Arabidopsis thaliana: one gene and its partners. The protein of the gene in region 3 interacts with the protein of the main gene of each other region in a pairwise test. Each region holds a gene or a part of one and is shown on either strand. Other genes may lie near its edges. The genes, in order: MSBP1, CLE44, AT1G01910 and AT3G45160.

The links.
Region 1: the proteins of AT1G01910 (region 3) and MSBP1 interact in a two-hybrid assay, tested with the Arabidopsis thaliana proteins (one large-scale study listed by BioGRID).
Region 2: the proteins of AT1G01910 (region 3) and CLE44 interact in a two-hybrid assay, tested with the Arabidopsis thaliana proteins (one large-scale study listed by BioGRID).
Region 4: the proteins of AT1G01910 (region 3) and AT3G45160 interact in a two-hybrid assay, tested with the Arabidopsis thaliana proteins (one large-scale study listed by BioGRID).

Annotation. Positions count from the first base shown.
Region 1 is NC_003076.8:21,211,107-21,215,604, forward strand, and holds MSBP1 (membrane steroid binding protein 1), read left to right. Parts: upstream 1-1,833; 5' UTR 1,834-2,014; coding exon 2,015-2,334; intron 2,335-3,108; coding exon 3,109-3,451; 3' UTR 3,452-3,505; coding exon of another isoform or gene 3,506-3,513; 3' UTR 3,514-3,736; downstream 3,737-4,498. Other genes in the region: MBD13 (methyl-CPG-binding domain protein 13), read right to left, coding at 445-528. UniProt on the Arabidopsis thaliana protein: MSBP1 can bind to multiple steroid compounds with different affinities. Negatively regulates cell elongation and brassinosteroid signaling. May act as a coreceptor with BAK1 and enhances its endocytosis.
Region 2 is NC_003075.7:7,660,934-7,664,897, forward strand, and holds CLE44 (CLAVATA3/ESR-RELATED 44), read right to left. Parts: upstream 2,329-3,964; 5' UTR 2,070-2,328; coding exon 1,731-2,069; 3' UTR 859-1,730; downstream 1-858. Other genes in the region: AT4G13190 (Protein kinase superfamily protein), read right to left, coding at 1-6, 80-173.
Region 3 is NC_003070.9:312,407-318,041, reverse strand, and holds AT1G01910 (P-loop containing nucleoside triphosphate hydrolases superfamily protein), read left to right. Parts: upstream 1-1,951; 5' UTR 1,952-2,210; coding exon 2,211-2,465; intron 2,466-3,026; coding exon 3,027-3,151; intron 3,152-3,239; coding exon 3,240-3,390; intron 3,391-3,490; coding exon 3,491-3,601; exon of another isoform or gene 3,602-3,816; coding exon 3,817-3,955; intron 3,956-4,046; coding exon 4,047-4,162; coding exon of another isoform or gene 4,163-4,170; intron 4,171-4,282; coding exon 4,283-4,447; 3' UTR 4,448-4,888; downstream 4,889-5,635. Other genes in the region: AT1G01920 (SET domain-containing protein), read right to left, coding at 2-63, 197-277, 400-481, 586-748, 849-875, 952-1,034, 1,145-1,250, 1,329-1,503 and 2 more; SBTI1.1 (subtilase family protein), read right to left, coding at 5,031-5,635. UniProt on the Arabidopsis thaliana protein: ATPase required for the post-translational delivery of tail-anchored (TA) proteins to the endoplasmic reticulum. Recognizes and selectively binds the transmembrane domain of TA proteins in the cytosol.
Region 4 is NC_003074.8:16,532,859-16,536,457, reverse strand, and holds AT3G45160 (Putative membrane lipoprotein), read left to right. Parts: upstream 1-2,192; 5' UTR 2,193-2,427; intron 2,428-2,510; 5' UTR 2,511-2,527; coding exon 2,528-2,803; 3' UTR 2,804-3,030; downstream 3,031-3,599.

The DNA of each region.
Region 1 (4,498 bases), on a different chromosome or scaffold from region 3:
AAAAACTTAAAAAAAATAAACATCTCCAATCATGCACACAAGTAATAAGAGCTTTCTAAGCCACAGTGGAACCAAGTAAAATCAATTGAGTTCAAAATGTAGCTACATAACAAAGCTTTGATCAAACTACATCATCTATAACAAAACAAAAAGTCAGGTCAAGACCATTTTCAGACACTTAATCAACTAGACCTCTTCTCTTTTGATCACATGTCATCTTTCCCTAAAAGCTAAGCATTGCATGCAAGAGAAAATCACTCAAACGTCACAAAAGACTTCACCTTTTTCCATCATTACAAAATCATACAATCAGAAACTAAGAGTGAATCAAAGTATTTGGCACTTCAATAAAGATAACTACAATTTCCACAAAAGGAGCTAACAAGAACCAAACATGCAAAAGACAATCAAAATTAAGAAAAGGGTTTAAAACTCATAAATCACCTTATCCTTTCTCCCATTCTTCCTCACTCTAATTTCCACTTTCCTCTCAGCCGACAAACCATCAGAGATCCCTTCTCCGTTCATCTCTCCGGTCACCGTAAAACCACTTTCCTCTCTCTCTTGTATCCCTGATTCACAACTCAGAATGGTTTATCAACTCAAAACGCCAAAACCCATCAAGAATTGTCGGATTCAGATAATGGACACCGTCGGAAGTTATAAAGAAGGAACCTTTTTATTTTGTCTGATTGTGTGATTTGGTTCTGTCTCCACTAAGGTAAATAAGAAAAATAGTAGGATTTAATGGGGAAGAAGAAGAAAGGGTTTACACGTGTAGTGTGGAGGAGTTTCAATGGAGATTCCCCGATTTGAGAGGTTCAAGAAAACTCAGTCCACCAGCACGCGAGTCTTCTGGCCCAACGCTTCTCTTCTCTGATTGCAATTTAGCTCATTTTCTCCATTTTATTCTCTTGTACTGTTTGTTGTTTACTTCCATTGTTATTGTCCCAATTTTAAAAAAACTTACACTGTATATTAAAAAACATTTGCTTGATTTGGTTATAAAATCTAATTGCAAATCTATTTATGATGATATTTTTTGGGAAACATTTAAGACTTTGTTATCATTTTTTGACCCAAAAGAAAAAAAAAATGTTATTATTGTAAATGTTAGGATTGGAAGATTTATCATGAGAAGAAAAGTGAAAAATACTAATATAGTCAATTATGAATTTTCATAAATCTGAATTAAATATAATTTATTTTTACTTAATATATAGTTTTAATTACTTTTTGTTTAAATTTATGTTATTAAATTTGGTATTTGTATATCATGTTTAAAAGATTTAGAAGTATGATTTTATTCTATTTCTAGTGATTTAATTATTGAAACTTTGATTTTTAAAAAAGTTTATGTATTAATAAATTATTTGGATTGAAGGTTATATCAATGTTATAAAATGTGTTTTAAAATCTGAAAAGTGGTTGATTTTTTCTTTTTAAATTCTGCATCCACGAAACTTATTTTTCTTAAAACTTATTTTTCTTTTCGAGGTTATGATTCTTTTTAGTTTTTTTTATCAAATTTCATGATGAAAATAACTGAATTGAACATCAAAGATTTTCAGAAAATACTCTACTGCTTTTTTCTTAACTATATTCTAGCCATTTACATATCTAAGCTTGATGTCTTTTCTATTTCGTCGAAAATCTATCTATTTTACGGCAGAGACTTGAAACCCGAATTTTGACATATCAAAAACACTAACACAATCCCATGTACTACATTATCATTTGTATTTTACTTATAGAAGAAAATAACTTTTTATTTAAAAATTGTATGGTAAAAATAAAGATTAGTTCCCTAATAACTATATAAAAAATCTTATTCGGTCGTTTTAGCTGTATTTAACTTTTAAACCCAAGAAAGAAAAAAATCAATCAACCAAGGAAGTAGTACAACAACAAGAGTCAAAACCCAACAACTCTCTATCTAGCACAAAAGCCTGACTTTTACAAAGACAAGCCTTTTCAACACACTACTGATCTTGAGAATCCTCTCTTCAAAGCCATGGCGTTAGAACTATGGCAAACTCTCAAAGAAGCAATCCATGCTTACACAGGTCTTTCTCCTGTTGTCTTCTTCACTGCTCTAGCTCTCGCCTTCGCCATTTACCAAGTCATCTCAGGCTGGTTTGCCTCGCCGTTCGATGATGTTAACCGACATCAGAGAGCTAGATCCTTGGCTCAAGAGGAGGAGCCACCGATTCCTCAGCCTGTTCAAGTCGGTGAGATCACGGAGGAGGAGCTTAAACAGTACGATGGCTCTGATCCTCAAAAGCCCCTTCTTATGGCTATCAAACATCAGATCTATGATGTTACACAAAGCAGGTGAAATTTCTGAATCTAAAAAGCGAAATTAGGTTATGGGTTTGATTCATTGTTTCCTCTAATCTTGTTTTAGCGTATAAAGACTTGGACTTTGCATACTTTTATGATCTATAAAGCTGTGAGAATCGTAAAGTTGTTCACTTTGAGAATCAATTTCACAAAGGAGTTTTGTTTTGAGAATCAATTTCAGAAAAGCACATTGGAAAAGTTGATCCTTTTTGTTACTTTTATACAAGAGAAAGATTCAAAGGAATATGTTTTTGTTGTTGATGTTTGCTAGTGATTGAGATCATGTTGTGAAATATCTTAGCTCTATCTTCGAGTATAATCAATCTCTTAGACTGGTTTTAGTGTCTCAAGTGTTGTGTTTGTAATGAAAGGTTGGATTTTTATTGTCTTCCTCAAATCTCGTTTTACTCTATAACAACTTGGACTTTGCATAGTTTTATCTATGAAGCTGTGATATCCATAAAGTTGTTCACTTTGAGAATCAATTTCACAAAAGTTGTGCTTTTCTATGTAATCGAGCTTTTGAGTGGCATAGTGTTAATTTACCCTTTTGCTTCCTTCATACAAGAACAGGATTCAAAGGAAGTTGTAATATGTTCTTGTTGTTAATGTCTGCTTGTGGTTGAGATCTTTAGTGAAAACTCTTTGTTAATCTTTGAGTATAATGAATTGATCATCTTCTTATGATAGTCTAGTCTGGTTTTTGCGTATTTAAATTAAATGTTGTGTTTGTGATGAAAGGTTTGATATTTATTGGTTTTGTAGGATGTTCTACGGACCAGGAGGACCATATGCTTTGTTTGCAGGGAAAGACGCTAGCCGAGCTCTTGCAAAGATGTCATTTGAGGAGAAAGACTTGACTTGGGATGTCTCTGGTCTTGGTCCCTTTGAGCTAGATGCTCTTCAAGATTGGGAGTACAAGTTCATGAGCAAGTATGCTAAGGTTGGTACTGTCAAAGTGGCTGGTTCAGAACCTGAAACCGCATCTGTCTCTGAACCCACAGAGAATGTTGAGCAAGATGCTCATGTAACCACAACGCCTGGGAAGACCGTTGTTGATAAGAGTGATGATGCTCCTGCTGAGACTGTGTTGAAGAAGGAGGAGTAGAGCCCATTTCCAAGATTTGCTCTGATTTGTCATAGAGACCAGTTTTATGAAAAGGATTGTAGAATCTCTAATGTTGAAGTGTCAATGATAATCTTGTTTTACTTTCCCAAAAAATAAAGATTGCTGATTAATGATAAGAAAAAAATGTTTTATAAACTGCATATCAGAAGGCGTTGCATTGCATGATTACAATGTAGTCGAGTTCATACTTGTGGTTTGTGAATCTGCATGATTAATCTGGAAACTAAAACATTAAACCTGATCCTTTTTTTGTAAATTCTCTTCATCCTTTTGGTTACTACTATAGGAAGTTTTTAAGTTGGTCACTAAATCCATATCAATTGGGAAATAGAGTATTCAATTGTGATCCTCGATGTTTAAGAATTGGGGCAAAGAAGACAGTTGACCACGTTCTTCTGAGTGTTCCTTGCATTGCAGATATGTGCGCTCGATCTCCTCAGCACTATGGAAATTTCGGTGTCGTCGGTATTTGCAAATTTGGATATTCTTTTCTTGGAACAACCTGGCTCTTCAAAAGATTTAACCTTTCCATGGATTATTTGATACATTGGAAGGCACGTAATGATAAGGTTTTTAATGATACATTTGAGAAACTGCACAGCTGCAAGAACATAAGACAAGTACCTTTGAACAACGGTCTTTATTACAAAAACTGGAGTTTGAAGTCACAAATTAATGTTTTATAAAATAGTTCATTTTTTTTGGTAAACATGTGAAGATTTTATAGATAGTTGATGGAAGGAGACTCGATATGTTTTCAAATATAGGTTGGATCGGTTTTCATAACGACATAGAAGGATCTCTTTTTAGAGTTAGGAATCTATGCATAAGCCTTTCTCCTATGATCAAGCATCAAAGTACATCGGTAACTATCTCAATGGACTGTTCAAAGCTAAAAGAAAATTGACAACTTCCTGAACATTTTAGCCAATTTTCTCAACATATTTGGAATGGTTTGCAAGACTCAAATATTTGCTCTCTTCTGGCTTTCTGTTATTCTTGTAATTAGAATTGTCTTGCTAACTT
Region 2 (3,964 bases), on a different chromosome or scaffold from region 3:
CATTCCCTGTTAACAAAGTTGGAAAATGTTAACGAAAAATGACCGATTTCTCGAAGTTTTATACGACTAGAGAGCTTACGTGGTAGGTTTTGTTGTTCATAAGGAGCAGCCATAGATGAGCCTTCATTCTCCCTACTTTTGTTGTTTGTCGATGGACCCAAGAAACAACTCATTTCTAAAGAATCCAAAAACCTAAGCTAAAATTTAGTTTTGTAGGATCTCTCTTGTTAGTTTAAGAATAAATTTTGAAAATTTTCTTGATGGATTTCACAAGAACAACATAAAGTATGCCAGAGATCCTACAAACCCTGTTTTTATTTATTTATTTATCCAGACTTTAATAGTTGATTATGTTTTGTTGTTAAATTCAGATGTTTCTTAAGAAAGAAGACATGTTTGACGATGAAACAAGAACTAAAAAGACAACTTCATGATGAGATGTGAGCAGGCTGTTTTTTTTTTTTTTGGTTAGAAAACAACTTAGGGTTGAGGATATTAGTAGAACAGAGAATCTTTACTAACGTTTTCCAATAATAATTTACGATTCTTAATTATTACCAGATATCCTAATTAATGTTGACTTCTTCTTTTAGTATGTTTTTGTTATCTCTATTGTTTTTTGTTTAGCTTGTTTAAGTCTAATAGATCGCTAAAAGAAACGAATACCTAAAAATAATTCAATCAATTTTACCAAAATTGGGCTTCACTAGTTGTTCAGATCGCAAATGGGAATAATTTCGGGTTCAAACTTTTGATGTAAATTATATTCTACATCCTTGGTGCTTGAAAAGTAAAAATAGGGAATAATTTTTTTTATGAATTATTGTTTTAGTTTTTTTTTTTTTTTTTTACTTTTTTGTCATGAGATCATTTGTGTATAATATTCACATCGTAAGTCTAAACTATTTTTAATTTTAATGAAATAGTTTTTTTCTAGGTTAAAAAAAAGAAAGAGTAAAAATAGGTCAAATAGGTTAAAAATTTGTATGCACACCACTTAAACATCCACTTCACAGTTTTTTGACGTGAAACTCTAATAACCGATGACTTAACAAAAACCACCTTAAACCGAGATTAATAATCCATAGAATACAACTTAGTCTAAACATGTATTTATTTTGATATATAACTATTCAAACCATTTTTTACTCTTAAAATTGTATCGTTAAGTATAAAAGTGTCGTTAAAATGAAATAATGTATATTCCACATTCTTAAATTATTTACCGTAGATTTTAAATTTTCTTGTGTTCAACTATTTTTTTTTCTCTGAGAGTAACCCAATAGAATAAGCTCTAATATAATAAGCAGCCAATTGATTTTTGGCATATTATCATTCGTATGTCCCCATTTATATATATATATATATATATATATTTGGTTTAAAATTATAGATATATTATATATACATGCATCACTAAATATATAAAAGAAATAAAACAGAAATGTGAGGGAATTATATACAGATGGATACATACACATGTGAAAAGTATTTGTCTCTCCTTTTCTCATACAATGCTAACTTCCAAAACTTAGAAGACGAAGATCAAAAGATTTCAATAAACGAAGAAGGGAAATTCGTAAAGGAAACATAGATATATAATTAAGAATCCATGACAATTCTCTCCATCCATTACAAAATTCAATATTAATAATATACATTAACTCATCTCCAAACACCCCAAATATTTAATTAATTAAATTACCTTACCCAAAAAACCGGTTGCTCACCTAGTTGGAGATAGGGTTTGGACCACTTGGAACCTCATGAGCTTCAGCTCTGAACTCTCTCCTCCTCTTCCTCGCCGAAGAAGAAGAAGTGCCACTGCGTCTAGGGTGAGCTGTTGGACGCATTTTCATAGTAGATGAAGATGGAGTGGAAGGTTGTAGAAGGAACCTCTTGGAAGGAGCCATAGTGTTCTTAGATGAGGATTCATGAAGGTGATGATTCATGGAACTTGTAGGGCCAATGAGAAATAAGAAAGCTAAGAAGATGATTGTGATGATCAAACGGATGACTTGATGGAAATGCAATGACTTGATGCTGGTTTGATCAATTGTAGTTGCCATGCAATTATAAAGAAGAAAAAAACACCCCCCAAAACTTCAAGCAGGGCTCAATATCCATGAACCAGCAGAGCTCTACCAAATAAAAAGGCAAAAGAGAAATCTAGTACGAATAAGAAAATGAAGGAGGAGCTTGATGAGCTAATTATGAGAGAGAGAGATATTCAAATTTCCACACACGCACTTTAATCTAATAATGGTATAATAAAGATGTTGTTGGAAAACATCGCATCAAAGATTGTTCAGCCTTTGAAGAAAAAAATGGGACACCTGCTTATAAAAAAAGTGTGGCAGATATTGCACGAGGTATCAAATTACTAAAGAGCCCTTTTATGTGAGCATCTTTGAAGAGTGTGAGACATATACATGGGACAGAGTAGGGCTTTGAATAAGATGCACTATCAGTTCAGGTTTTCTTTGGTTAGGTTACGGTTTTGCCCCCTATGAATGTTTCTAATTTTTTGGTAGGACTGCCACTGGAGAAGAGGAAAATATCGAGGAAAAGGCCAAAGCATGTAATGGTCAATTGGCTATGGCAAAGAATCTTGAAAGCTAAGGAGAAAAAAGCAAAAGAGACTAGGTGAAATAAAGAAGGTTTTCATGCTTTTTTCCTCCTTTTGATTTATTTCTCAAGACTTTTTGTAGCTTTACTTGCTTACCTAAGAAAATGTTATGTTGACTACGCTTCGCCGATTATAGATATTGCGTGTCTAAAATAATGTCCCATTAAAAACTAGTCAAGAGACTCGAAGATAGTGAGTACAATATTAAAAATTACAAACACATTGCAACTTTGCAAGATCAATTGTTATTGTTTTACTTTAGTTACATTATTCAATATTATCTTGTAGTAAAAGGTTTGTTTTTTGAAAGCATCATTGTCAATTAATGTTCCATTTTCGGTGGTATAATAATTAGACAACTTAAGTTTTTTTTTATAATAAGAGTGTATTTTTATGTACACAATTAAACCCCACGAGGGAGGAAGGTGGATTGAATCCATTACATGTGACCACCTCACTATATTACCAAAAATACTGTACACCATATTTCCTTTATGAAAACCCCGAGAGAAACCGTAATAGAGATAAAAGCAAACGACTATATATTTTCATAAAATATTTGCATGCTACTTAGATTTGATTGAATTCGTGAAGACCAAATTTTTGTCATATCAATTGCTATGACAGAACGAATAGCTAACATAGGTTTTTAATGAATAATATTAAAGGAAAAAGGAATCATATACTCATGATATCCCCTAGTACAAGCAATGGCTTTTTTTATTTAATATGGTTGAGGATATATCTTCACGTTATCACCTATGTCTATATTCTCATGTATGTGCTTATCAACCTATATACTCGACGATTAGGGAACCTAATTAAGATGAAAAAACAAAGAATATAAGGTGGTGGAAGCATTCAAGCATGCAGCTGCAATATCCAGTGATACCTTTAAATTTGTCTTTGCATGAACAAGAATATTAATAAATGAACTTATTATATTACTCGATTTTGGAATAGTATAGAGTGCATGATTGTTTCCATACGTTTACGTGTATTATATGGGTCCCAAAATTTTCTCGGTATCGTGCACCCGAGAACGATAGTACTTCGTGCTCATTATCGTCATTTTTTCATCTCTTTTCCTTTTAATTTTTCTTTTTTATATATCATTTCCTTTTTTGTTTAAGTTAAGTTTTTTTTTTCTGCCATTAATTGGCCCATTCCCCATCGATGACGTTCATGGTATATACGTAGTTCATAACAGAGTTTTTAAAAATTGATACATATAGCAAATAGCAATTTACCATTGTGGGATTGATATTTTATTGTCCCTGATGACAATAACTCATACCTGCTACTGCTAGTCTGTTACCTCTTGTCTCCCTTCAA
Region 3 (5,635 bases):
CCTCATTTCCTTTGTTACCATAACTGATCGAGATCTCCTTCTTTGGGATAGGACGTTGAGCAACTGCTTTACAGAATTGTAGCACTTAGTTTTCCGCATACAGATCAAAAAGAAGAGAGGAAAAAGAATGTTCTGTATTGTTTGATTGAAAAATTGTAGAAAGCTGAGAGGTAACACAAACAAATATTTGGCCAACCAGAGAGAAGGTACATGGAGAAAGGAACCCTAGATACTGATCCGATCCCATCAACTTCCCAAGTCGCCACAGGCTTCAAATCTATACTGCCATAACCATAGGTCATTATATCACATCACACTGGGATATACTCATTAACCATATCAACATTATGGAACGGAGAAACTGATAATAGAGTCTTTTTGAAACAAAGATTGGCATACCATGGTTGCAAAAGTCAATGCCAGGAACAAGCCCCTCAACCCATATTGTATCTCCGGATCCTACAGATGGCGCAGGTTGAGCCTGAATTTCTACCCATCAGAAAATGAAGAAACCCATGAAATTGTCGTTACATGATAGAATAATAATAATTAAAAAAGAGGCATTTCACACAGAATTCAGCAGACCGACGTTAATGACTTGCCTTTTTCCTCATTAGAATTAACTGGAGCCGTTTCAGGGGACTCACTTGTTGATGTGCATTCCCCGGTATCATCTTGGCTTTGTGGAAACACGAAAGAATGTGGAAGAGGAATATTCAAGGCGCGACTCCAGAATACAGAGTTTGCCCTGGCATAATTGAAAAAAGTCGCAAGATCACTAAGCAGCCCTTTACAAGACACAAAAGTCTGGTTCTACTAACAAGGAATAACACCAGTACCAAACATACCAGAGGAAGTGTTCAAAGGAGACCTTGCTGCACGAAGAGAGAAAACAAAATATGATTATCAATGAACAATAATTTGGTCTAAAAGTAGTGTAAATATGTCAACCTTTCGGAATCGCCATCCAAAATAAGAAGCTTTGTCACCAGGACCTCCACCTTGTCATGGTAAAGCGAGAGCAACTTCTTCTTCTGAGAATGAATACACGATGGTTATTGGGTTTAATAAATGAAAAGAGAAAATGTGGTTGCTATTTTAAGGACGATATGATAAGACAGGAATAAATGATCAAGATTGAGACCTGTAACTCGGTTGCGTGATACAAGTTAGTCCCTTTTAGCTCAAGGATGTCATCATCAGAAAACCAAAGAGGATTGCCAAATCGAGTAGGAAGCATATCAAGATACCTATCATATCATTTCTAGACAGATGAATACCCTTAAGCTTACGTAAATGTGTGCTAAGAGATTAAAAAAAAAACTTACGGCTTCCAAGAAGAATTGATACGAAGACGCTCCAAAGTGAGGAACAGAATCATGAGAAAGCGGTCATCAACTTGTCCTTGTTCGAACATTTTCTGACACTCAGGGCCCAGGAGAGGGTCCTGAAGAACTCTCATAGGGGTAATGGCCAGATCAAGCGGAACAACAAGCAAAACTTCTGAAAATTTCCAGAGCTGAATCAGAATTCAATATCAACTTTCCATACATATTCCCCGGAAAAAAACCCAGCAAGAAATGGTAAGAACAATACTATACCATCGGAAGCTTGAGTGGAGGTGGAAGCGAATATGCCAAATCCTTTTAGGGAGTCAGAATATTTGATGTTGCAGCCTCTTAATTCACCTCCATTCACCTGAATGAAATTAGATCGAAACACAAAATGCCATGATATAGAGCAGCAGATCAGGACTGAAAAACAACACTTAATCCGGATCTAACCTGAAGCCAATCTAGGAACCTTTCGAGTTTGGCTTCTTCTTCTGAAATCGCCATATCCTCCGGCGAAGATCAATATGCCGGCGACGGGTTTAACCGAGTAGAGAGGGGTTTTCAATCGTAACTCACAATACGCTGTCGTAATGGCTTCATCTATGTGGGCTTTTGTATGGGCTTATTTAGCGTTTATGAACTTAAACACACCAAATTTAAATTTTTAACAAAAAAAGAAAAATTGAACAAGTGAAAAACGATAACCAAAAAAATCAAACCAAGACTGCTGTGATATCCCAAAACCGAGAACCAAAATATTGAACCGGGCGGCGTTAAAAGTCTCTCGCCGCAGTTAAACTCTTCCGTACGCCAAATATCTAACAAGGAGCTCTTTAGATTGAGACTAGTGGAAGAGAGACGAGCAAGGAATTAGCAATGGCGGCGGATTTGCCGGAGGCGACAGTACAGAACATTCTGGACCAAGAGTCTCTTAAATGGGTTTTCGTCGGAGGTAAAGGAGGTGTTGGGAAGACGACATGCAGTTCAATTCTCGCAATTTGTCTCGCCAGTGTTCGATCCTCCGTTCTCATCATCTCCACCGATCCTGCTCACAATCTTAGTGATGCCTTTCAGCAACGCTTCACTAAATCTCCCACTTTGGTTCAAGGTTTCTCTAATCTCTTTGCCATGGTAAGCTTTCTCCGATTTTGTTCTAGATCGTGCTAGATTTTAGAGGGAATTTGGTAGTTTCGCTCCTGGATTTTAATCTCATTGGGAATTAGGGTTCTCTGATTCACGAATTTCAAACCGCAGATTGATGGATCAATTTTGATTTTGAAGTCAGATTTAGTACTTGCATAAATACGGTTGATTTGTGCCTTTCTTATCATATGCCCACTCTGATTTTGGGGATTAGGTTTGGAATTTGGACGCCAATTTGTATTCTTGATACGGAAGGGGATTGTGAAGAAGATTTGATGTCCCCAAATCAAATCGAATTTTTGTCTATTGTAGTTAAAATTCATGGCTAGTTATGCCAAATTCAAAAAAAAAAAAAAAAGTTGTTTTTTGTGGTTCTGGGTCGCCTCTAATAGACAGGCTTGATGATGACTTTATGGCTACTCTTCTAAGCTTGAAGCTCTTAGTTGTGTCTGTGTGTATATGTATATATATACACATACTATAAGCAAATGGTTACGATTCACACTCCTTCCCTCTTGATAGTGAGTGAATCTTGTTTGCTTTTCTCAGGAGGTAGATCCTACCGTTGAAACTGATGACATGGCTGGTACAGACGGGATGGATGGTTTATTCTCTGATTTGGCAAATGCGATTCCTGGAATCGATGAGGCTATGAGTTTTGCTGAGATGTTGAAGTAAATAGCCATTTAGTTCTTCTAGTAATCATCTGCCTTTATCCATGTATTATCACAGTCAAATTTTGATATGTTTATGTTTCCTTAGGTTGGTGCAAACAATGGATTATGCTACTATTGTGTTTGACACTGCTCCTACTGGACATACTCTCCGCCTGTTACAGTTTCCGGCCACACTAGAAAAGGGACTTTCGAAGTTGATGTCATTGAAGAGTAGATTTGGTGGCTTGATGACTCAGGCATGTCTTTAAGCTTGTCAAATTCAGTTTGCTTGGCAACAGATATTGCTCTTTGGTTTCTTCTTTGGCTGATTTTTCATGGAACTGATTGGTAATGCAGATGAGCCGTATGTTTGGCATGGAGGATGAGTTCGGAGAGGATGCTTTGCTGGGAAGACTTGAGGGCTTGAAAGATGTGATTGAGCAAGTAAATCGGCAATTCAAAGACCCGGTAACATTTTTTCAATTGTTTAAGTTCTTTGCTATTTTCAGTACTCATTGACTGTTTTCTTAACTCTGTTCGTGAAGTTTAGTTTTAGATTCTTCACATTGTTCTGTAGCATACGGTTTGACAGCATTCATTTGCATTAGTGAAAATTCTGATACATATCTAACAAACTCTGCATTTTAAGATAAGAAATTGACACATTTGGCTCCATTACGTAGGATATGACTACGTTCGTTTGTGTCTGCATCCCCGAGTTCTTGTCTCTCTATGAAACAGAGAGACTTGTTCAGGAACTCGCCAAGTTTGAGATTGACACGCATAACATTATCATCAACCAAGTACTATACGACGACGAAGGTGCCTATTTATTTGCTGTCGTGTCTATCTTCTCGTTTTGAACTTGTTTTACATACAAATTTGACGAATTATCTACACTTGTCTTCTGTAGATGTGGAGTCCAAGTTGCTCAGAGCAAGGATGCGGATGCAACAGAAGTATCTTGATCAGTTTTATATGCTATACGATGACTTTAATATCACAAAGCTTCCTCTGCTTCCGGAAGAGGTAAGAACGCATGACATTCAATATAGATGAGAAGGAACATGATCAAGACGAAAATGAAACTAAAGCCTTATATAATATACATCCTGAGATTTACACTTGTTGTGGATGTTTGGATCACAGGTGACAGGGGTTGAAGCCTTAAAGGCGTTTTCACATAAGTTCTTGACGCCGTACCATCCTACCACTAGCAGGAGCAATGTAGAGGAGCTGGAGAGGAAAGTACACACATTGCGTTTGCAGTTAAAAACAGCTGAAGAAGAACTCGAACGGGTCAAGAGTGGCTAAAGATAAGGCTCTGTTCTTCCCTTTAATTGTAAGTTTCTTTCCTCGCCATATTCTTGGAACTCACTTGCTTTCTACATGGGGGTCTTCTGGATCTGCGTTGTCATTTGGGTTTATTGTTGTTTATGTTTTGAACAATTTATAGGTGGAAAATTAAAACTGAATCTTTTTCTCTCTAGTTCTTCATCTAGCAACAACTCTTTATAGGACAGGAAAGAAGATCAAGCAGAATCTTCTTTTGCGTTGTTTTATTGTTATGCATTGGATTTGTTTTTATATTTGTAATAATCATGACTACATAGACTCATATCTACCAAGAAATCGTTGTTTTACGACTTAATCAGCTTTTTATATATTAAGTTGAAGGGTATCTGTGACAAGCGAATGCTATGATCTCTTGTAACAGCTTTTTATATACTGTAGACTGGTCTTGCAACAGAGAAGGAAAATTCATGTAAAAAAATTATAGTAAATAAGAGATGTTTTGATTTATTGACAAATTCTTACAAGTTTAGGGTAAGCTTTTGTTCAATAAGTTTCTTTGGTATATAATAAATATGAAAATGGCAATCAATAGATGCGAAATTTATTCCCACGTCACGGCGATTGGGCTTCTGACGTTGTATTTGTCACATATCCAAACCAAAACTCCAAAGGAAGACGAAGACGAATTTCTCGAAGCTTCTGCATCATACGTCACCGTATAACTCAACCTCTCTCTGGCCTTCTGGAACTTGAGCACCTTTGGTTCAACTCTCACCTTCACACCTTTTGGTTCCTCAACGTGCACCATATACTCACAAGTCGGTGACCCAACGTTAGTCACAGTCCTCTTATATCTCACCGTTTTCAAATTCGCGCCATTAACGAGGTTGACCGCGAACGAGGGATAGTTCAAATCACCGGGACTCAAAACGACGGCGTTACTAGCACACGTGTAGTTAGTGCCGGAGAACAAGAGTATTCTCTCACTCGTGTAGTTCAAGCTGCACAAGTAGTTGAGATAATCGACGGTGGAGGTATCGTATACCAGCCCGGGATCTACCGCTCGCGTGGGATCCACGTTTCCCGCTCCAAACGCAAACGCTGTGGCCGCCGATTCAGCTCCCGCGGCGCCTCTATCTCCGATCGGTCGGTTCCTATTGTCAGTGATCCTCGCCGTCGTCATGATTGCTGATTTGATCATCGCCG
Region 4 (3,599 bases), on a different chromosome or scaffold from region 3:
CGCTGTCAAGTATTTAGAAAATCAGTAAAACGTCATCCTTGACGAAATAGAGGGTGAAAAGTGTTTTAATGTATATCTAAATGCTTCTATTTCAGATGATTTTGTATTTTATTTGTATTGTATATAATTTTATCCGAAGTGGCAAGAGGATTATGAAGTTGATGATTCATTCTACCATATAAATTGAATCCACTTTGTTATTCACAAAGTTAAATAGAACCCTGAAATGATGACAAATGGTGAAATGTTTACAGCATGGTCGGATTATTTACTGTCCTACTAATATAAATTAATGTAAGTTGCCACCCATTGATACTAACCAAAAGCCAGGAATCTGTTATTAATTTGTTATACTTTATAATTTATTCCTTCAAGGGTTAATTATTAATGAATCAATTGGATTCCAACTTTTTGTAGTGGAAGAAAGATCACTGTGCTAACATTTACTTTCTCTTTGCACTAAAACAAAGTAAACTTCTGAAAACGAATATCTAATCTATTTCATCGTAATTATGTGAGTGATTTTCCTCTTTCCAATCTAGAAGCAACATGTAGACAAGTCTCACCAAAATTACTCTATGATCAAGACGTTAAAATTTATCGACCGCTCGAAAGGACCAATACATTGTTAGTCCCGCCCATTGGATCCGCATTATAGTGTCTCTTAGGGGCAAAACTCAAAGTCATTTCATAGACAATTTTTTTTTCTTTTTCGAATACTAAGAGGTTTTGGGCCGAAACCCGTAATCCTCCTAGGCCCGAAACCACGACATGTAATATTAATTTTGTCCCAAGCGTCACTCGAACCAGCGACCTCTAAGTTTCGCCCAGGGTTTTTACCAATTTAGCTAACGACACTTGGTCTTCATAGACATTTCTAGTATACAAAAACACATCTTCAACTCGTGTTGGTGAAAATGTCGTTTTGCTGGATATTTAGTGAACCAATTAGGGTAGCGATTATATCAACCAGAGAACAAATGGATTTTAATCCTCCGATGATCGGTAACAAATGTCGTACTAGAATATGTTCTTTGGGAGGTGGAATATGGGAAATAATGCCTCCTTTGACGACCTATTAGTCCGAGCAAATCTCAAAAAATCAATTCGAAAAGTATCCTATGCACGAATAGTAATCACTCAGGTGTTTTAGAAAAGTTTTAATCTATATATACATTTTTGCAGCCATTTTAGCAAATAAATCCTGCACTTGGACTTATTTACAATCTAATGCCATTAGCATTAAATCTTTTTTCCAAAATAATTAATTTTACTTTAAATTTTTGATTTAAATTGTCAATCATATTATGAATCAAATTTAATCCTACCAAACTTCAAATCAATCCCTTAAAATTAGCATAAACATATTTGTTAACAATATTTTAAAATAAAGTTTTTTGTTAAATAAATATTATTCTTACTAAACGTTTTTTTGTTTAAATAAATAAATTTTGTATTTGAATTTATTTACAATGTCATGTCACTGACATTAATTATTTATTAATGAAAATATTTAATTAAAGATTTAAATCTTCTAAATCCTTGCTTTTAGAGTTATTATGTCATTACCTTATAAACAAAAATATTATTTTTTTAAATATTATTATTTATATATTTAAAATTTATAAAACATTATTAATATTTAAACTTATAAAAAGTTTGATATATTACAATTTTTTAACATCATTATATAATATATAGAGTTTAAAAAAATCTTAATTTTTCCGTCATATTTTATGATTCAAAATTTTAAAAATGAACATATATTAACCAATTAGCAAAAAATGTGTGGGTTCAACGTCCCGCATCGACAAAAATATTTAGACAATGATTTATAAACATATCTTTAATAAGATCAACATTAATATAAATAAATGGTTTTTTTACGGGACGGATTTGGCGGGACGGGTTTGGCAGGACGTTACTTAATAACAATTGTAAACTATAAAATAAAAATATATTATAAATAGATACAATTTGCAAAAAAAATATTATACTAACTTTAAAAAGATAAATTGTATACCGCGGGATAAAATCTAGTTACTTTTACACTTTTGTAAAAGCACCACTTAATACAATGCTAATCCATAAAGTAACGTGGGTTTTCCCTATTCGTAGTGCCAATAATAGACAACCCTTTTTCAACCAACTTCATCATTTTGTCATCACAATTCTTTCCTTCTTAAGAAAAAATTTAATTCTCCAATAAGAGGCCTCTCCCACTTGTGATTGTCTCACCACTAGGCACCGGGGGTCACATCGTACCTAAATCGTATAATTTTAAAATATGATCTCAAATAGTCAACCCACCATAACAAAAACCCTATTCTCCTGCATGTATAAATATCAATGTCTTAAACTCTTATCTTTTTCCCTTTAAGGGTACTTAACTAAACCCATCAACGCTTGTTACGATTAGTTGCAAAGGTAAGTTATACTCATTTCATGTCAATATACTAAGATCTTCAAGGTTCTGTTTATGTAAAGACTATTCTTTCTTTCTTTTGCAGCTCATAATAAAACCAATATGGGGATAAACTCTAAGCATGTTGTGGTTGTTATTATGGTGATGATGGTCATTATAAGCTCATGTTTGGCTGCAAGGAATATAATTCCCCGGGAAACTAATCAAGAAAGCGAAAAAGTGTCCCGAGAGATGATCATAGGGAAAGAAGAAGACTCTACTGAGAAAATAGAGCACCCAAGAAGCAGCGTGGAGAATCACCATTATATCCCAAGACAAGATTTCTACAACTATGGACCTGGAGGCGAAAATAATGGAGGAGGTGGTGGTGGTGGATAACTCAAAAGAAATCGCGAAAACGATATCAATATGAATATATAGATGTTAAAGAAAAAAAAAATTATAAAAATAAAACCTATGAATATGAGGCAATCCTTCTATAAATCTGAACCTCTTAATGCTTTATTAAGAATGTCTAATTATGTTCGATTATTGTATTATCTTTTTTTTGTTCCCTATGTATAACTGAGTAATTCTATTTTGAAAAATACTTTCTTGCACTTTTTTGGCCATCGATGACCATTAGAACCGTCAGAGTTGCTTGAAGCTGAAACCGTAGTTCCCTAAACAAAAACTGTTGATACTCAAATCATACAATTCATGTAAAGGTTTAAGGAGAAGGACGGATAATCTCTTATAAGACGAATTAGGTTTGGCGAATACAAGATTATACAAGGTGAAGGTACGAGTTTACAAGGACAATCCGAGAAGACAATGTATCCAACTCGTTTGAATAAAGGTGCAAGAATGACGGACAAGGCGTTTGGTTCGAAAGATGTTCGTACGTACTAACGATTAAAAAAAGGCTTCCTAGGAACTCAATGGGGAAACTTGTACGAAGGAGATTACATGTACTCTCTACATATGTGTCAGCGTGAAATTCGGGATCCTTTCTCGACAGTGTTTTTCCGCTTTTATAGGGAAGATATATGCGGTCATGAACTCGGGATGATTTTTCTTTTCTGCTCCCAGCAAATTGACGATACTTAATGGGCTGAGCTTGTGTAACGGACCAAACGCAAGTCTCTTTCTTATGGGCCTAACTATATTTGGGCCGGGCTTTTTGGAATGGGGC